Rattus norvegicus: one gene and its partners. The protein of the gene in region 1 interacts with the protein of each later gene in a pairwise test. Links are inferred from orthologs where the notes say so. Each region holds a gene or a part of one and is shown in the gene's direction. Other genes may lie near its edges.

Region 1 (5,257 bases):
AACTGAGCTCCATCCTTACTTGAGCTCTGTACCTTTCTGTGTTTATTTATTTAAGCCCCTAAATAGAAACACCCTGAGATAGGATGGCGTTATCTCCACCTTGAAAGAACCATGGCTATTGGAGAAGTGTGGAAACCGTCCAAAATCTCACAGGGCCAGAATCTAGGTCTTCCCACTATAGCAGCACACCAGGCAGTCCAAAATCTACCAAGCCCTGGGTATTGTGTTGCGTTGGAAGGTAAATGAAGAAGGAAGACAGCATTTAGAAATGCCATACCGGGGCTGGGGATTTAGCTCAGTGGTAGAGTGCTTACCTAGGAAGCGCAAGGCCCTGGGTTCGGTCCCCAGCTCCGAAAAAAAAGAACCAAAAAAAAAAAAAAAAAAAAAAAAAAAAAAGAAATGCCATACCCAGACCTGCAGGGTCCCTGGGATTTCTTATGGCTTTCTCTCACCCTCTTCCTTCAGCCTTTCCACATCTCGTTCAAATCTGAAGGCCTCCCTTGAACGGAGTTGCCACTGTCCCAGGACAACTCAGTGTGTGACTTTCCAAGCTGTCCTTCTTTCCAGCCTGTCTGCAATCTAAATACAGACCCAAGTACCTTCTATACACTTTCCATTTGACGGTTTCCCAGCATTGCCAACTCCACAAGTTCAAAGCCCCTCTTCTCCAGCACATGGTCCACATCCAGTGTCGCTGTCTCAGGAGAGGGCACTCCCACTCAACACTTAAGTGGCGTGCACGTGTGTGTGTGTGTGTGTGTGTGTGTGTGTGTGTGTGTGTGTGTGTTTTGTTTTTGGAGACAGGGTTTCTCTGTGTAGGTCTGGCTTTGCTGGAACTAGCTTTAGACCAGGCTGAATTTGAACTCAGAGGTTTAACTGCCTCTGCCTCCAGTGCTGGGATTAAAGGTGTGCGCCACCACTGCCTAGCTTGAGTGTCATCTTTGAGGCCTCCTCAGGCATTTGGCCAATCCATTACCAACCCCTGTCCATTTTCCTCCTAAATGTCTTTCAACTTCTGCTTATCTTCTCCCTACAGCTTCTGACTAGAGGCCCCAACCTCTGCCTTACAGGCTCCTAATTGCTCTGTCCCCAGTCTTATCACCCGTTAACTGGTTCTTCTAACCAATATATGTATGTCCTTCCTTGTACCGAACCCTTCACTGGTTCCTCGATGTCTGCAGGGGTGAAGTCCAAGCTCTTTAATGAGGCCCTCTTTGTTATGATTCTTATATTTTTACAGCCTTCTCCCCGGTCACTGCCTTAAACATTTAACTGCATAGAGGTGGACCTGAGATCAGTCATAGGCCAGAGACCTGCGGCATAGTGTCCTCTTGAAATCTGTCGTAAACAAGGAACCTTGCATTTCACTTTAAGTTGGACCGTGTATATTTTGCCAGTCTCCCTGTCCTGTCCCTGAACCACTTGTGGCCTTAAAGTTTGTTCAGTCTCTTCCATCAGGAACACCCTTTCCAGGCATCGTCCTTCCCTCTGCAACTTTTCCTCTAATAATCAATGCGAGTGTTACTTCCCTCTCCCTTCCCTTTCCCGGTCGTCCAATGGGAGGACAAAATGTGTCAAGAGCCTCAAGAGACCCACAACGTTCTATATGTGGTAAAGGGAGAAAAAGGTGGGAAGAAAGTATTGTTTTAACTACTTTCAAACGCCATCTGGAGGGCACTAGGACCTGTCTGCGGACGAGTTCGTTCTCTAACAGAGGAATCCGCGCTTGACAGCGGAGAAAGCAGACTACACCGGCTCTTGGGCGCCCTCTACTGCCATCGCGCAAGCGCAACACCTCTTCCTGGAAATCACCTAGCCCGTACCCGCCTCTCATCTCCCATTGGCTACTCCCTATTCTCCCGCCCTCCGGTGCTCAGCCAATCAGAACCTCTTGGTGGGCGGGGCTTTCGGCAGAGGGGCGGGGCGTAGGCTTGGATTGGCTCCGCTGAAGACGGCGACGTGGCTGAAGGAGGCCGGTTTGTTTCTGAATTGAGGCTCAGGCACGCCGGCTCAGGATTGGTGCTGGGCCGGGCCGGGGTCTTTGGCCGGAAGCGGAAGTGGAAAAAGGATGCAGGTGTGGGGACCAGGGCTGGAGAAACTGGGTCTGTTATGGGACTCCTGTCCTGCCTCTTGATGCCCTCCCGTCCTCAGTCGGGCGCTCTGCCCCTGAAGGGTGGCGGTTGGGTTCGTGGAATGAGCGCGCGCGAGGCACATCGCCTGCCTGCGTTCACGCCTCCCTCCCGGTTGTATTTCCCACCAGGACCATCAGCACGTGCCCATCGACATCCAGACCAGCAAGCTGCTCGGTAGGAGAGGGCGCCCCCGCGCGTTCGGCTGTCGGGGGAGGTCTGCTAGTTGCCCCCTGTCACTAGCAGCCAGGAGCTGTCAAAGTTCTGGTTGAGATGCCTTAGTCTAGCGACCTGTTTGCTCTGCAAGGAAGGAAGCATGGAAAGTCTGTACTGGCTCCGTATTTTCTACTTTTTTTTTTTTTTTGGTTCTTTTTTTCGGAGCTGGGGACCGAACCCAGGGTCTTGCGCTACCTAGGCAAGCGCTCTACCACTGAGCTAAATCCCCAACCCCCGTATTTTCTACTTTTAACATTTATAACGTAGTATCAAAACGTATTCAGGAACACAGGACGAGTGGATAGTGTTAAAGATGGACAATTACCAAATGGCTGATCCGTTTGGAACTTGTCTGTTTGGTTCTGTCTTCATGCTTTTTGCATTATTTTGGGTGGGTAAACCCTTCCCACTTATTTAATAAATTTCTATCTCTCTTTGGATTTAGGGAGAAAAGGGCCTTCAAACTCAGATACAGACCTTTTATGCCAGCCATGGTAGCTCATGCTGGTAACCATAATACTTGGGAGACAACTGAGGCAGGAGGATTGGGCAGTTCTCAAGACAGCCTGGTTTACATAGCAAGTTCCAAGCTATGTATTTGCTAACAATGAACACTTACCCCGAATTCATCCCCCAAAAAGCCTTTAGTCCTAGCACTCAGGAGGCAGAGCCAGCCTGGTCTCCATAGCAAGCTCCAGGGCAGCCAGAACTACATGGAGAGACCCTGACAGAGAGACAAGAAGACCCTTTAGTGGCCAGGTTGTCTCTGCATCTGGTTTACATCCCTTAATCTGTCACTTCTGGACATGTGCACAGCCCCTGGCACTCGAAATGTTTACAGATTCGCCAGTCCACTGTTAATCACATCCTTGAGAGGGTGTTTGCGGACCTTAGCCCCTTGTAGGAATTCTGACGTGGGCTGTCTTCCTTTCTGACCACTTGAGAGGAACTCATCAGAGACAATTTCTGACACTATAGTTGTTTGAGATAAGTTGACCAGTTGACAGACTTGTTAACAAGGCCACCTTTGAAATTGAGAGGGGGCGTTCGGTCCTTTGACGGGCACTGTCTTAGCCTCCCAAGTGCAAGGCACCCAGTGTGTGGACACCCGCTGTGTTTACCCTAGTGTGGGAGCTTGTCCTCAAGTCCTCAGAGGAACCAGTGGGACAGCATGCACTGAGCATTTGTTCCACACCCCCTGCCACTTTTATACTTGTCCCTTTCAAAACGAAATCCCTGAGGTTCATTGAGTCACTGTGGTACATGAGGCACGGTGCATAGCACATCATCCTATGTGTGGGGAAACGGAAGCACAGAGAGATAGAAACTGAAAGCCAGCAAGATGGCTGCACAGTAGGTAAATGTTCTTACCGTCAAACCTGATGACCTGAGTTCTGGATCAGGACCCCGTGATGGAAGGAGAGAACTGGCTCTCGGAAGTTGTCGTCTGATCTCCACTTGTGAGCCGTGGCACATGGGTACACACACGCATATGTGCACACTGAATAACTAAACAATATAATTAAGTTTTTAATTAAAAATGTCTTTAAGAACTTGATAATTAGACCCCAGGACCATCTAACCATAAAACCTTGGTTTCTCTCCTTAGGAAATGATCATAGCTGTTAGCCCTCAAAACACATAAGCTACAGTGTAGTCATGTGGCAGAGTGGTTCTTCAGAGTTAAAAACAGACCAGTGACTAGGCCGGGCAGTGTAGTGTACTCCTTTAACCCAGCACTGGGGAGGCAGAGGCTTTCCGTGAGATTGAGGGCAACCTGATCTATATAGTGAGTTCCAGGAGGACAGCCAGGGCTACACAGAGAAACCCTGTCTCAAAAAAAAAAAAAAAAAAACAAAAAAAACTAACAGGCCAGCCTTTGGGGCGAGGTAGTGTTACGTTAGGGGCTTTACAGTTGTTCGTTCATCCGGTACTTGGCATAACCACCTTGTGTTTTCCATTGTCGTGGTTAATCCCAGCCCCGAGGAAATGGAAGTTGAGCAGCACCTCTGTCAACAAGAAAGATATAATTACACAAGAAGCGAAAATATTATGGAGAATTTAGAATGGTCAAAAGTGGCACTTTCATGTCAGGACCAATTTAAAGTTTTTCTTTATCCCCGTGTTAAGGCGGTTGCTCTGTAAAACTCATACCGGGGATAAAGTTGGGGCGCCAGAGACTGTTTAGCCCAAGCATCTCTCTGAGTCTGTCTGTCTCTTCATCTCTTCCCATCCCCTTCTCTCTCTCTCTCTCTCTCTCTCTCTCTCTCTCTCTCTCTCTCTCTCTCTTTCTCTGATACCTCAGCCAATACAAAGACTTTTGTTCAATATCCAGTAGGCCGACACTTGAACTGATGAATTCCCAGTGGGGAGTTAGTGGTATGGCGGACCATGGTGACCTGCTGGTTCTCATGCAGATTGGCTGGTGGACAGAAGACACTGCAACTTAAAATGGCAAAGCCTGGTGCTGACCATCCGGGAAAAGATCAACACCGCCATCCAGGACATGCCAGAGAGCCAAGAGATTGCCCAGCTGCTCTCTGGTTCCTGTGAGTGATTTGGAGCCCCCTCCTTCCGGGAGACATTCCCTTGTTGAACCTCCAGGGCGGACCCCAGAGCGAGAGTTTTTTTTTCTGGGTCAGAGATGCTGGCGGCAGAGCACAGGGGTCAGCCACTCGTAGCAGTCAGAGGAGGAGAGGAAGGCGGTGGGATTCTGAGAGCCCCTTTTTGCTTTCTAGACATCCACTACTTCCACTGCCTAAGAATAGTGGACCTTCTTAAAGGTACCGAGGCTTCCACCAAAAATATTTTTGGCCGCTACTCTTCACAGCGGATGAAGGTGAGTATGGCCAAGGACTGGTAACATGCAGGTGGGGACATCCATGGCCTCTCTAGTCTCACTGGTGAACAGG
Region 2 (4,907 bases), on another chromosome or scaffold:
TAATATATAATATGATAAATATAATATAAGCAGGGGTGTTTCCAGCAGTAGAAAAACAAATCTTTAAAACACTGATATATATATATATATATGTATATATATATATATATATATATATATATGAGAAAGAAGTCCACTTATGATTTTCTCATTTTTATGAAGTGATGAAATAGCAAACTTTTTTCTTATTCCTACATTGTCCTGTACCTTGGCTCAGCACTTGATGATTCTGTGTTTTGTTTTAGGCTAAAGTCCAAGAGTGTTTGTTATTCTTTCAACAGCGTGAAGAGTCTTTAGGTAAAGAAGCAGTGTAAGGTTAAAGAGTAACTCAAGAGTCACAGCGTCGATTACAGCACAGTGTTTATATGTTTACAAAGAAAGTTAATGATACATTGATTTCACCTCAATAAGGCAAAAGAACATTTGTTAAGAGAAAAAGGAAAGGGAGACAGAAAAATAATTATTTGTGTGTATATTTTTATTTTATTTAGATAATTGATCAATTGATTTTTTTCCCCCTTTTGTTGGGATAGGGGCTAGGAAGAGCACAGTCTGGGCATCATACTCTCTTTGAATAAGGACACTCAACTTTGGAGTTAAAAAATCAAACTGCATGATATGCCATGTGTCGTTCTTATCACCTCAGAGTCTTGGTTGAACCAGATGCCATCATGTCACTCATTAGAGTTCTTTGGGTAATGTTGTTTTTCTTAAACCCCTATTCTAAGACTCTTATTGTAGCGAAGCCATACTCTGGGCAGAATTAAATTTCCCAGGGCAAAGAGCTGGTTCTAATAGGAATTGAAAAGTTAAATTTGCAAAATTTAAGTCTCTTTGATCTTTCCTATCCCTAAGGATTAACATCCTCATTCTCAGACTTTAGCAAACAGACAGTGATGCTCAAATAAATTATATATATATATATATAATTTATTTGAATAAAGGACTGAATAAATAAATACATTTTCTAAATTGATTACTTCCTTTTTAAGTAGATATTTTAAAAACACAATTGCTTAAGTGTCTGAAAGAACATTATTGATTGATTCTACCTTCACAAAGGCAAATTTGGGCAAACATTAGTTGGCGTCATACCCACAGGCACGAAGCAGAACCTACGATCATAACCCAAGGCAAAGGGGGATTAATATGTATCATTTTAGAAATTAAAATCCTCTAAGATTATATCTCCTTCAGCAATTCTCAAGGGTTACTAACTCTGTACATGACACGCGTTGTGGCCACCTGTAAGGAGCAGTTTACGATTTATTTAAAAGTGAAGAAATATCCAGTTGCTTTGTCGATGTTGGCCAATGTATACAACATCAAAATTTCTGCAGAAATCGAAATTAACCTTTGGAATATCTTTGCTTGAAAATAAAAACAGCAACGACACTTTTTTTTTCCTTTTCCAAAATCGGATTCTGCGCAATTCTTCAGTAGTCACCATGAATCGAATCTGTGTCCGAAAAAAGGAAGGCCTGTGAGCTGGTGAATTCGCTTCTCTATTCCTGAGAAGCTTGGTGAAATCTGAACTTAATAGACAATAGGTTGTATTTTAAAATTTATTTTGAGACATGGTTTAGATACCATCGAAATTAATTTAGAGACGAATAGATATAAGAAATAATTAGGCATCCATTTATGTAAATACTCAATTTCCCAGATGAGATTAAATTTACAGCATCATTTAAAAAGACAAAAAGAACACACTTGATTGACAAAAGAAATTACCTGGGCTGTGAGTTCTCGCGCTATGGTTAGTTGCAGCTGGTACCCTGACGTCACAGGTTGCCATGGTAGCACTAGCCCAGAAGAAAAAGGGGTGGAGCTAAGCACTCACTGCGGTGCTGCCCTGCGTCTGCAGAGAACAAGGAAAGCTTCTCTGCAGGGCTGTCAGCTGCCAAAATGAACGGCGTGGAAGGGAACAACGAGCTCCCTCTCGCTAACACCTCGACCTCCGCCCTTGTCCCGGAAGATCTGGATCTGAAGCAAGACCAGCCGCTCAGCGAGGAAACTGACACGGTGCGGGAGATGGAGGCTGCAGGTGAGGCCGGTGCGGAGGGAGGCGCGTCCCCCGATTCGGAGCACTGCGACCCCCAGCTCTGCCTCCGAGTGGCTGAGAATGGCTGTGCTGCCGCAGCGGGAGAGGGGCTGGAGGATGGTCTGTCTTCATCAAAGTGTGGGGACGCACCCTTGGCGTCTGTGGCAGCCAACGACAGCAATAAAAATGGCTGTCAGCTTGCAGGGCCGCTCAGCCCTGCTAAGCCAAAAACTCTGGAAGCCAGTGGTGCAGTGGGCCTGGGGTCGCAGATGATGCCAGGGCCGAAGAAGACCAAGGTAATGACTACCAAGGGCGCCATCTCTGCGACTACAGGCAAGGAAGGAGAAGCAGGGGCGGCAATGCAGGAAAAGAAGGGGGTGCAGAAAGAAAAAAAGGCAGCTGGAGGAGGGAAAGACGAGACTCGTCCTAGAGCCCCTAAGATCAATAACTGCATGGACTCCCTGGAAGCCATCGATCAAGAGCTGTCAAATGTAAATGCGCAAGCTGACAGGGCCTTCCTCCAGCTGGAACGCAAATTTGGGCGGATGAGAAGGCTCCACATGCAGCGCCGAAGTTTCATCATCCAAAACATCCCAGGTTTCTGGGTCACAGCGTTTCGGAACCACCCGCAACTGTCACCGATGATCAGTGGCCAAGATGAAGACATGATGAGGTACATGATCAATTTAGAGGTGGAGGAGCTTAAGCACCCAAGAGCAGGGTGCAAATTTAAGTTCATCTTCCAAAGCAACCCCTACTTCCGAAATGAGGGGCTGGTCAAAGAGTACGAGCGCAGATCCTCAGGTCGAGTGGTGTCGCTCTCTACGCCAATCCGCTGGCACCGGGGTCAAGAACCCCAGGCCCATATCCACAGGAATAGAGAGGGGAACACGATTCCCAGTTTCTTCAATTGGTTCTCAGACCACAGCCTCCTAGAATTCGACAGAATAGCTGAAATTATCAAAGGGGAGCTTTGGTCCAATCCCCTACAATACTACCTGATGGGCGATGGGCCACGCAGAGGAGTTCGAGTCCCACCAAGGCAGCCAGTGGAGAGTCCCAGGTCCTTCAGGTTCCAGTCTGGCTAAGCTCTGCCCTCGTGAGAAGCTCTTACAGAAGAGTCCTTACCACCTTCTCAGCTTGGCTAGCAGCATGCAGCCTTCTGTCTGCTTTCTCTTCCTTGGATTGTGTCCTTTGGTTCTTCTAAGTCTCCGGTAGTTTCAAGGTTGTGGCTTCCAAGTCTTTGCTCTTCTTTCTCTTGGCCATCACGATGTCCTGCATAGTGTTAATGGTGTTCCAAGTGCATGGCCTCCAAACTGCTTCTATGCCAAGCTCACGTGCTGTAGTTTGTACTGCTTTTCTTTGCATGGCTTGGTTCCTGTCTGTGATCTTCTAGGTTTTTTGTTTTCTTTTTTAAAAGTGGTTCTCTATCAAAAGAAAGCTTGACATATCCTTACCAAGAACTAGCCAGATTTCATACTGTGTTCCCGATATCTATGTACTGTGAAGAACTGTGAGTTTCGCCACTGCAAGATGGGACTGTATCCCAATCCAGCCATCAGCCCAACAGGACATTCCAAGCTGTCACCAACTGATCCTAGCTGTCTTCCTGGGCCTTTGCCATTTACCCTGCTTTTTATCTATAGAATGAGCAGGTGGCTGGTAGGTGACTACTAGGTAAGAGTGAAGTATTAGGTGAGGAGTGTTTTCTGTCACCACATTGTTCTTGTACCAATGCATCATGATCAGCTTGGATCAGCTACTGACTGTCTGATATTTCTAACCCCCAACACAAAAAAAAAAAGAGAAAAGAAATGAAAACAAAAACCTTTAAAGGGAATAGACTTTGACCCAGTTTAACTTGCATTTCTGTCCTGCGGTAGAGTTGTTGGGGAAGGCTGTGTGTGTGTGTGTGTGTGTGTGTGTGTGTGTGTGTGTGTGTGTACGCACATTTGTGCTCTTTGTGTATGTGTTCATGGATCATAAATGAGAGGTGAAAAATCTGTTGCTCAGTTTATGAATTGTACAGGAATTGAAGAAACACTGGAGTCTTGTTGGATTGGAAACTGGAAGGAGTCAGTGCAGAAAAGGTAGAGGGAAAGGAATTGGTCCAGGGAATCAAAATAAGGGCTATGGGAACCTGTATAATTGCACACTGCTTCTCTCCTGGTTGGATTGGCACAGGTCCAAGCAGTTCCTCAGGAACTGTCTAAAGACCTAAGTTCCTAGGCAGCACACAGGACCCCCTTCTGAATCAGTTCCCGTGGCTCGGTTAGCTGCTGGGCAGAATCTGTAGTCACATGTGGCAGTGCCCAAGCTAAGCTTAAGTGGCTCCATTCTAGAAGTTAGTTCTTCTGAGCCCTCACCAACAAATTATTCCTAATCTGGGCAACTTTGACAGGTAACTCCCCCTCTTCCTGTGTTCACACCCACTCTGGTTAAGTCAAAATTGGCTAGGTTGGGGCAGTTAGAAATCCTTTGGGGCACACGAGGCTTGCTCTGCCTTTCTCTCTTTGGCTCCTCTCTTTCCTTCCTCCCTTCTTTCTCTTTGAAGCAGTTGCAGCCCAGAGACAGAAAAACAAAACATACAACAGTTTTTTTGTTTTTTTTTTTTTAATTTGTCCTCCCTTTGGTTAAGTGCAGGCAGGAAAAGGTACTGTAAAGTAGACTCAAAATCTCTCACTGCTCTGACTCTCGCCCTACCCAGAGCAATGTCTGAAAATTTCAAGGCAGATTACCTCCAGTCCTCCCTCCATTTTACCAGTAAATTTGTGTTTCTTAAACTCTGGGTTGATAATCTGGGAGAAGAGAAAAAAGAATCTCAATGACAGACCCTGTTCCTGCCCTGAGCAGTGAGTGAATG
Region 3 (5,229 bases), on another chromosome or scaffold:
CTGGAGAAAGAGGTGGGCTGCTATCCCCAGAACACGCCATCTCTCTGAGGCCACCTCCTGGTGAGCACTCACAGATGAAACACAATCTCCATTTTTATGCCTGTGCACCTGAGGGCGTGCGTGTGCACAGGCGCTCACTAACAACATGGTGACCAAATTAAAAAAAATCTGATTCTGATGATATTGTAAGTTTTAAAACTTTTATTTTCATTTTGTGTATGTGTCTGTCTGTCTGTCTGTCTGTCTCTCTCTCTGTGTTTGCGTGTGCGCGTGAGAGAGAGAGAGAGACAGACAGACAGACATGGCCAGACGAGGGTGTTTGATCAGACCTCTGGAGCTGCAGTTACTCAGGATAGATGCTGTGAATCTGAACTCTGGTCCTCTGCAGGATTCTGCAGGACCAGTATGTTCTCTCTCTCTCTCTCTCTCTCTCTCTCTCTCTCTCTCTCTCAATTATTTGTTTATTTTTTTAAATATTTATTTATTATAGATAAGTACATTGTAGCTGTCCTCAGACACACCAGAAGAGGGCATCGGATCCCATTACAGATGGTTGTGAGTCATCATGTGGTTGCTAGGAATTGAACTCAGGACCTCAGGAAGAGCAGTCAGTGCTCTTAACCACTGAGCCATCTCTCCAGTCCACAGTATGTTCTCTTAGCTGTCAGGCCAGCTTCCCGGCCCGTTTTAAGACAGTTTATGTTATGTATTCAGAGATATTCCTAGCGATCCTTGGGTGCAAGTCAGAGATACCTGAGAGCATTCAATGGCAGGCTGGCCAATTCATCTGCATTTGCTATGGAATACCTCTTGGGGGAGGAGAGGGTTAATTTTAGCTTACCACTTGATCACAGGCCACCACTGAGAGGAGCCAAGGCAGGAGCCTGAAGGCAGGCCTGCTTACTATAACACACAGCATTAACCTCCAACCAAGAGCTCACCTCACTGCCAAGCAGGTACAGCAGGAACCGCAGAGGATGCTGTTTGCCAGCTGGCTCATAGATGGGCTTCAGTTCAGTTAGCTTTCTTGGTTAGTTCAAGACCTAGGTAATGGTGCCGCCCACAGTGGGCTGGGCCTTCGAAGGCCAGTTAACTGTCAAGACATTTCTTACAGACACAATCTGCCCTAACCCTAGCCCTGGGCTGTGTCAAACGGACAGGTAAAGCTAACTAGGACACTGACAGCCCCTTTTCCAACTGGATTTTCACTAAATCCAGACTCTCTGCTCATGTCTTTATCAACTTCAAGCCCCATCCACCCATGCTAACGTTAAGGCTCCTGGTAACAGGCAACTGGCTGCCCCACCTCTCCAGGGCCTTGTCTTCCAGTGGTCACAGGTTCCTCACTTCCTGTAGAAACTCTCCCATGCTTCTTCCTAGCGTCCCACTCCTCCCCCACGTTCCACCCACAGCCAGGCCTCCTGGCTTCAGGCTGACTACTCCCCACAGTTCAGTTTTGTAGGTTTATTTTTGCCTCCGGGTCCAGAGGGCCAGGTTACCCGTGACTGGCACTTCCTGGACCCAGTGTCCTGTAGCAGGTGCTTTGCTGGAGCAGCCAAAGGGAAGGGATGGTGGAGGTGAGCCAGCTGCTAGGAGCTTGGCACAGGCTTGTGTGCTCCTGGCCAGCCCCGCGCTGCCAGCGATCCTCAAGTCATTTTTAACAGCTGCTCCCACCCCCCAACCTGTCATCTGTCACTTGGTAGGAAGAAGTCCCTCTCTTGTCCACCCTGCCTTTTACTCCCAGGGTCGGGGAAGCGCCCAGTTTTTCGGTCCCTGGTCACCCTGCCCCATCACACTTCCCCTCCTTGGTTTCCTTCAAGTGAAAAGCAAAACTTTCTGCGCGCTGCGGTCTGGGAGCCGCGAGGGGCGGCGCGCGTGTGCGAGGGGGCCGAAGCTGGAGAGGAAGCGGCGGTCCTGGGCAGGAGGAAGGAGCCAGCCCTCGGCTCGGCCCCCTGCCCGTTTCCCGCCGCCTCCGCGGTCGCAGTCACCACCGTTGCCGCCGTCCGGAGCGCAGCCAGCCGCACGATGCAGGGCGCGGGTTCCCGGGGCGCTTGGATCCACAGTCCGAGCCACTGCCCAGGTAGGGCCCGGGGTCTGACGGAAGGCGAGCGCGGCCTGCCGAGATCCGGGCGCACCCCGGTGCGGGGGAGGGAAACCGAGGCAGGGAGCGGGGCGTGCCGGGTGCGGGCTGTCGCGTCTCCGGCTGCCACTGCAGCTCCCGTCCAAGCGCGTCCCCGCTGGGGGGAGCCTGGCGGCCTGGGGCGCAGTCGGTGGAGGGCGGCGTCCGCAGCGCCTGAGTGCAGCTCGGTCCTGGGACTCTCTCTCGCGTGGCCGGCGCGGACCCTGTGGGGACGCAGGGCGAGGTTGGGAGAGGTGTGGGAACTGCAGCCCGCACCTCCCGTGGGGCTGCTCGCCGCCCACTTCCGAGTGTGGACTGTGACGCGCAGGGCAGCGCAGGCTGAGGGGACCCACTCCATTTTCCCCCGTCAGCATGGGCCACCTACCAACCCTAGTGATGACATCGAGTTAAGTGGGCGGCCGCTTTTCAACAATGACCTCCGCAACTCACTGTCAGAAAACCAAGGAAATGAATGTGATGGCGCACGCCTCTGTTGCTAGTACGCAAGAGACTGAGCCAGGAGGATTGCGGACACTTTCTAATACAGCCTGAGACGCTATCTCAAAAACCCAAATCAAACCAGAATAACGGAAAAACAAAGCAAAGCAAAACAAAACAAAAACAAGAAAAAAACAAAAACCAAGCAGGGAGCCCAGCTCCAGACTGGGCTTTGCAGTTTGGGCGTGCCGTGCTGAAGGAGAGAGGGCAAGGGACTTAGGCTCTTATTTTAGCTCTTGGAGCCTCAGTTTGCCCATTTGTGAAAGGGGCACTAGCCACCCGCTTGCCTGTCTCCTTAACTAGGTTCTATGAAGAATTTTTTTTTTGCAAATGGGAGTTAGAAAACACAGGGTTGATGGGTGAGTGTAGGGTGAGAGTCTCCTGCACATGCGTCCTAGACTCGGGCTTGCCTCAGTTTTTCAATTTGCAAAATGGAGCTGATTTTCCTCCCGACTTGGTCGGGTTTTTAAAGGGTTTAATGTGGTAGGAGGGCATTAAACCCCTGGTTTAATGTGTCTGAGATACACAGCAAGCTCTCAAAAATCTTTTAGTTGCCCAGGTTAGCCTTAAATCCCCTGCATACCCTAGGCTGGCCTCCAATTCGCTAGCCTTGGCCTCCCAAGCGCTGGGATTACAGGTGTGCTCCACTACGCATGGGTCCCTAAGTATTTATTTATTTTTTTGACCGTACAAGACCTAATAATTACGGGTAATACAGGAATGCCAGTGTGAGTTAGTTAGCGTCTGAATTACAGGATATTTTAAAAGACATTTGGCATCTGATGTGGAGACTGTCAAGGTTTAGCCAGGACTCTGCTCACAGCAAAAAGAGCCCTGGATGAGAACCCTGCATTCTGAGCTGCCTCTCCCAGCCTCGGTTCTCTCTTCTGTTGACAGAAAGAGAAAGCACCGTTCACACTGAGTGTTGCCCTAGGATCAGGAGAAGCAGAACATCTGGAACTGGGGCTGGTGCCACCTTTGCAGAAAATGCATGGGCCAGGCACCTGCTCCTGCCCTAGGATGAGGTCCTCCTCAAACCTGTGAGGGCTGGTGCTACCATTCTCATCTTTTCTTCCATGAGGCAAGGGCTAGTCACCTGCCTGTGGCTTTGGTTGTTAAACAAGGACTGAGGCTCAGAAACCAGGTGCTGGTGTCTCCAATCACTGGCTGAAGGGAAGCCATGAGGTAGAGCCCAGGTTGAGAGTAGACCTTTTCTGGTCAAAGGCAATGCTTGGTCTGTTTCTGCCTTTTATACCTATTTTGTCATCTATCTATCTATCTATCTATCTATCTATCTATCTATCTACATCTATCTACCTCTATCTATCATCTATCTATCTATCTCTCTATCTATCATCTATTTATATCTATCATCTATCTACCTCTACTATCTATCTATTATCTATATGTCTATCATTAATCTATCATCTATCTATCTAACATCTATCTAACATCTATCTACCTCTATCTACCTACCTACCTATCTATTATCTATGTCTACTATCTATCTATCTATCTATCTATCTATCTATCTATCTATCATCTATCTCTCTCTATCTATTATCTATGTGTCTATTATCTATCTATCTACATCTATCTATCATCTATCTCTCTATTATCTATATGTCTATCATCTATCTATCTATCTATCTATCTATCTATCTATCTATCTACCTACCTACCTATCTCCAGCCATCTGCTTACCTACCTACATGCAGTACTAGGGACCACACCTAGGACTTTGTGCAATGCTAGACAAGCAGGTGAGCACTTCAGCACACCGTCCTACCTCTAGCTGGCATTTTTCATAATTGCAGACCCTAACAAAATGAGAGTAAATCACAGGAAGAACTTCGCCTTCCCCCTAATGTAATATTTTTATTGATTATTTGGGAATTTTATACAAATGCAATGCATCCCACCCCACTCACTTCCTATTCCTGCCACCCTCCCACCTTTGTGCCTCTCCTCCCCTCAACAAACAAACATCACCAAATTCAATTTGTGTCTCTCACACAGTCATTGTGTTGCTCCCAGTGGCCAGTCCCTTAGAGAGACCTGAGCCCCCTACTCCCTCTGCCTCCTGCAGAAAGAACTTTGCAAACACTTTAATTTCATCTTTTATTTTATAAGGTTCTATTTTGTGATATCTTCTTGCAGAAGAAGAATGAACTATAAAAACTTAACCAAGTCAAATGGTCTTAAACTTTGAAAGAATGCGTTGTGAGACCTTCGTCTGAATCTCAAAGTTCGGTCTACTGGATGTTCGATTTTAACAACTTGCCAGAGGCAGGCGGGGCGGGGCGGGGCGGTAGCCTGTAAGGAGGAGATTTTTTGTCAGACGGTCACTTCGCTGAGAGTCCTAGGACAGGCAGAAGGGACCTCAGTGCTACCCAAGATGAAAGGAGGCGTTTCAGATTGGAGAACCCAGGCTGGGGCTCTGTTACAAAAGGAATTCCCAGTTCCTCTGAACTAGATGTAGTTCACCAAGAGGACATCAAAACCATGGGCTCACCAGAGCAGACAGACTGAGGCCTCTATCCCTGGAGTGTGCTTCTGTGTTGTGTCCATAATTCACGTGTGTTTCAAAGACGGGAGGCACACTGTTGTTA

The links. The genes of interacting proteins can lie anywhere in the genome.
Region 2: the proteins of Cdk5rap3 (region 1) and Tspyl4 interact in binary tests that used the Homo sapiens proteins (3 or more experiments, as listed by UniProt). The two-hybrid records come from large-scale screens. The link is inferred for Rattus norvegicus from reciprocal best matches to the Homo sapiens genes CDK5RAP3 and TSPYL4.
Region 3: the proteins of Cdk5rap3 (region 1) and Disc1 interact in a two-hybrid assay, tested with the Homo sapiens proteins (2 studies listed by BioGRID and IntAct). The link is inferred for Rattus norvegicus from reciprocal best matches to the Homo sapiens genes CDK5RAP3 and DISC1.

The regions. Positions count from the first base shown.
Region 1 is NC_086028.1:82,396,716-82,401,972, reverse strand, and holds the start of Cdk5rap3 (CDK5 regulatory subunit-associated protein 3), read left to right. Parts: upstream 1-1,971; 5' UTR 1,972-2,068; coding exon 2,069-2,074; intron 2,075-2,260; coding exon 2,261-2,306; intron 2,307-4,680; exon of another isoform or gene 4,681-4,762; coding exon 4,763-4,894; intron 4,895-5,083; coding exon 5,084-5,184; intron 5,185-5,257. UniProt on the Homo sapiens protein: Substrate adapter of E3 ligase complexes mediating ufmylation, the covalent attachment of the ubiquitin-like modifier UFM1 to substrate proteins, and which is involved in various processes, such as ribosome recycling and reticulophagy (also called ER-phagy).
Region 2 is NC_086038.1:39,651,937-39,656,843, forward strand, and holds Tspyl4 (testis-specific Y-encoded-like protein 4), read left to right. Parts: upstream 1-1,851; 5' UTR 1,852-1,908; coding exon 1,909-3,132; 3' UTR 3,133-3,848; downstream 3,849-4,907.
Region 3 is NC_086037.1:69,910,106-69,915,334, forward strand, and holds the start of Disc1 (disrupted in schizophrenia 1 homolog), read left to right. Parts: upstream 1-1,870; 5' UTR 1,871-2,025; coding exon 2,026-2,080; intron 2,081-5,229. UniProt on the Homo sapiens protein: Involved in the regulation of multiple aspects of embryonic and adult neurogenesis. Required for neural progenitor proliferation in the ventrical/subventrical zone during embryonic brain development and in the adult dentate gyrus of the hippocampus.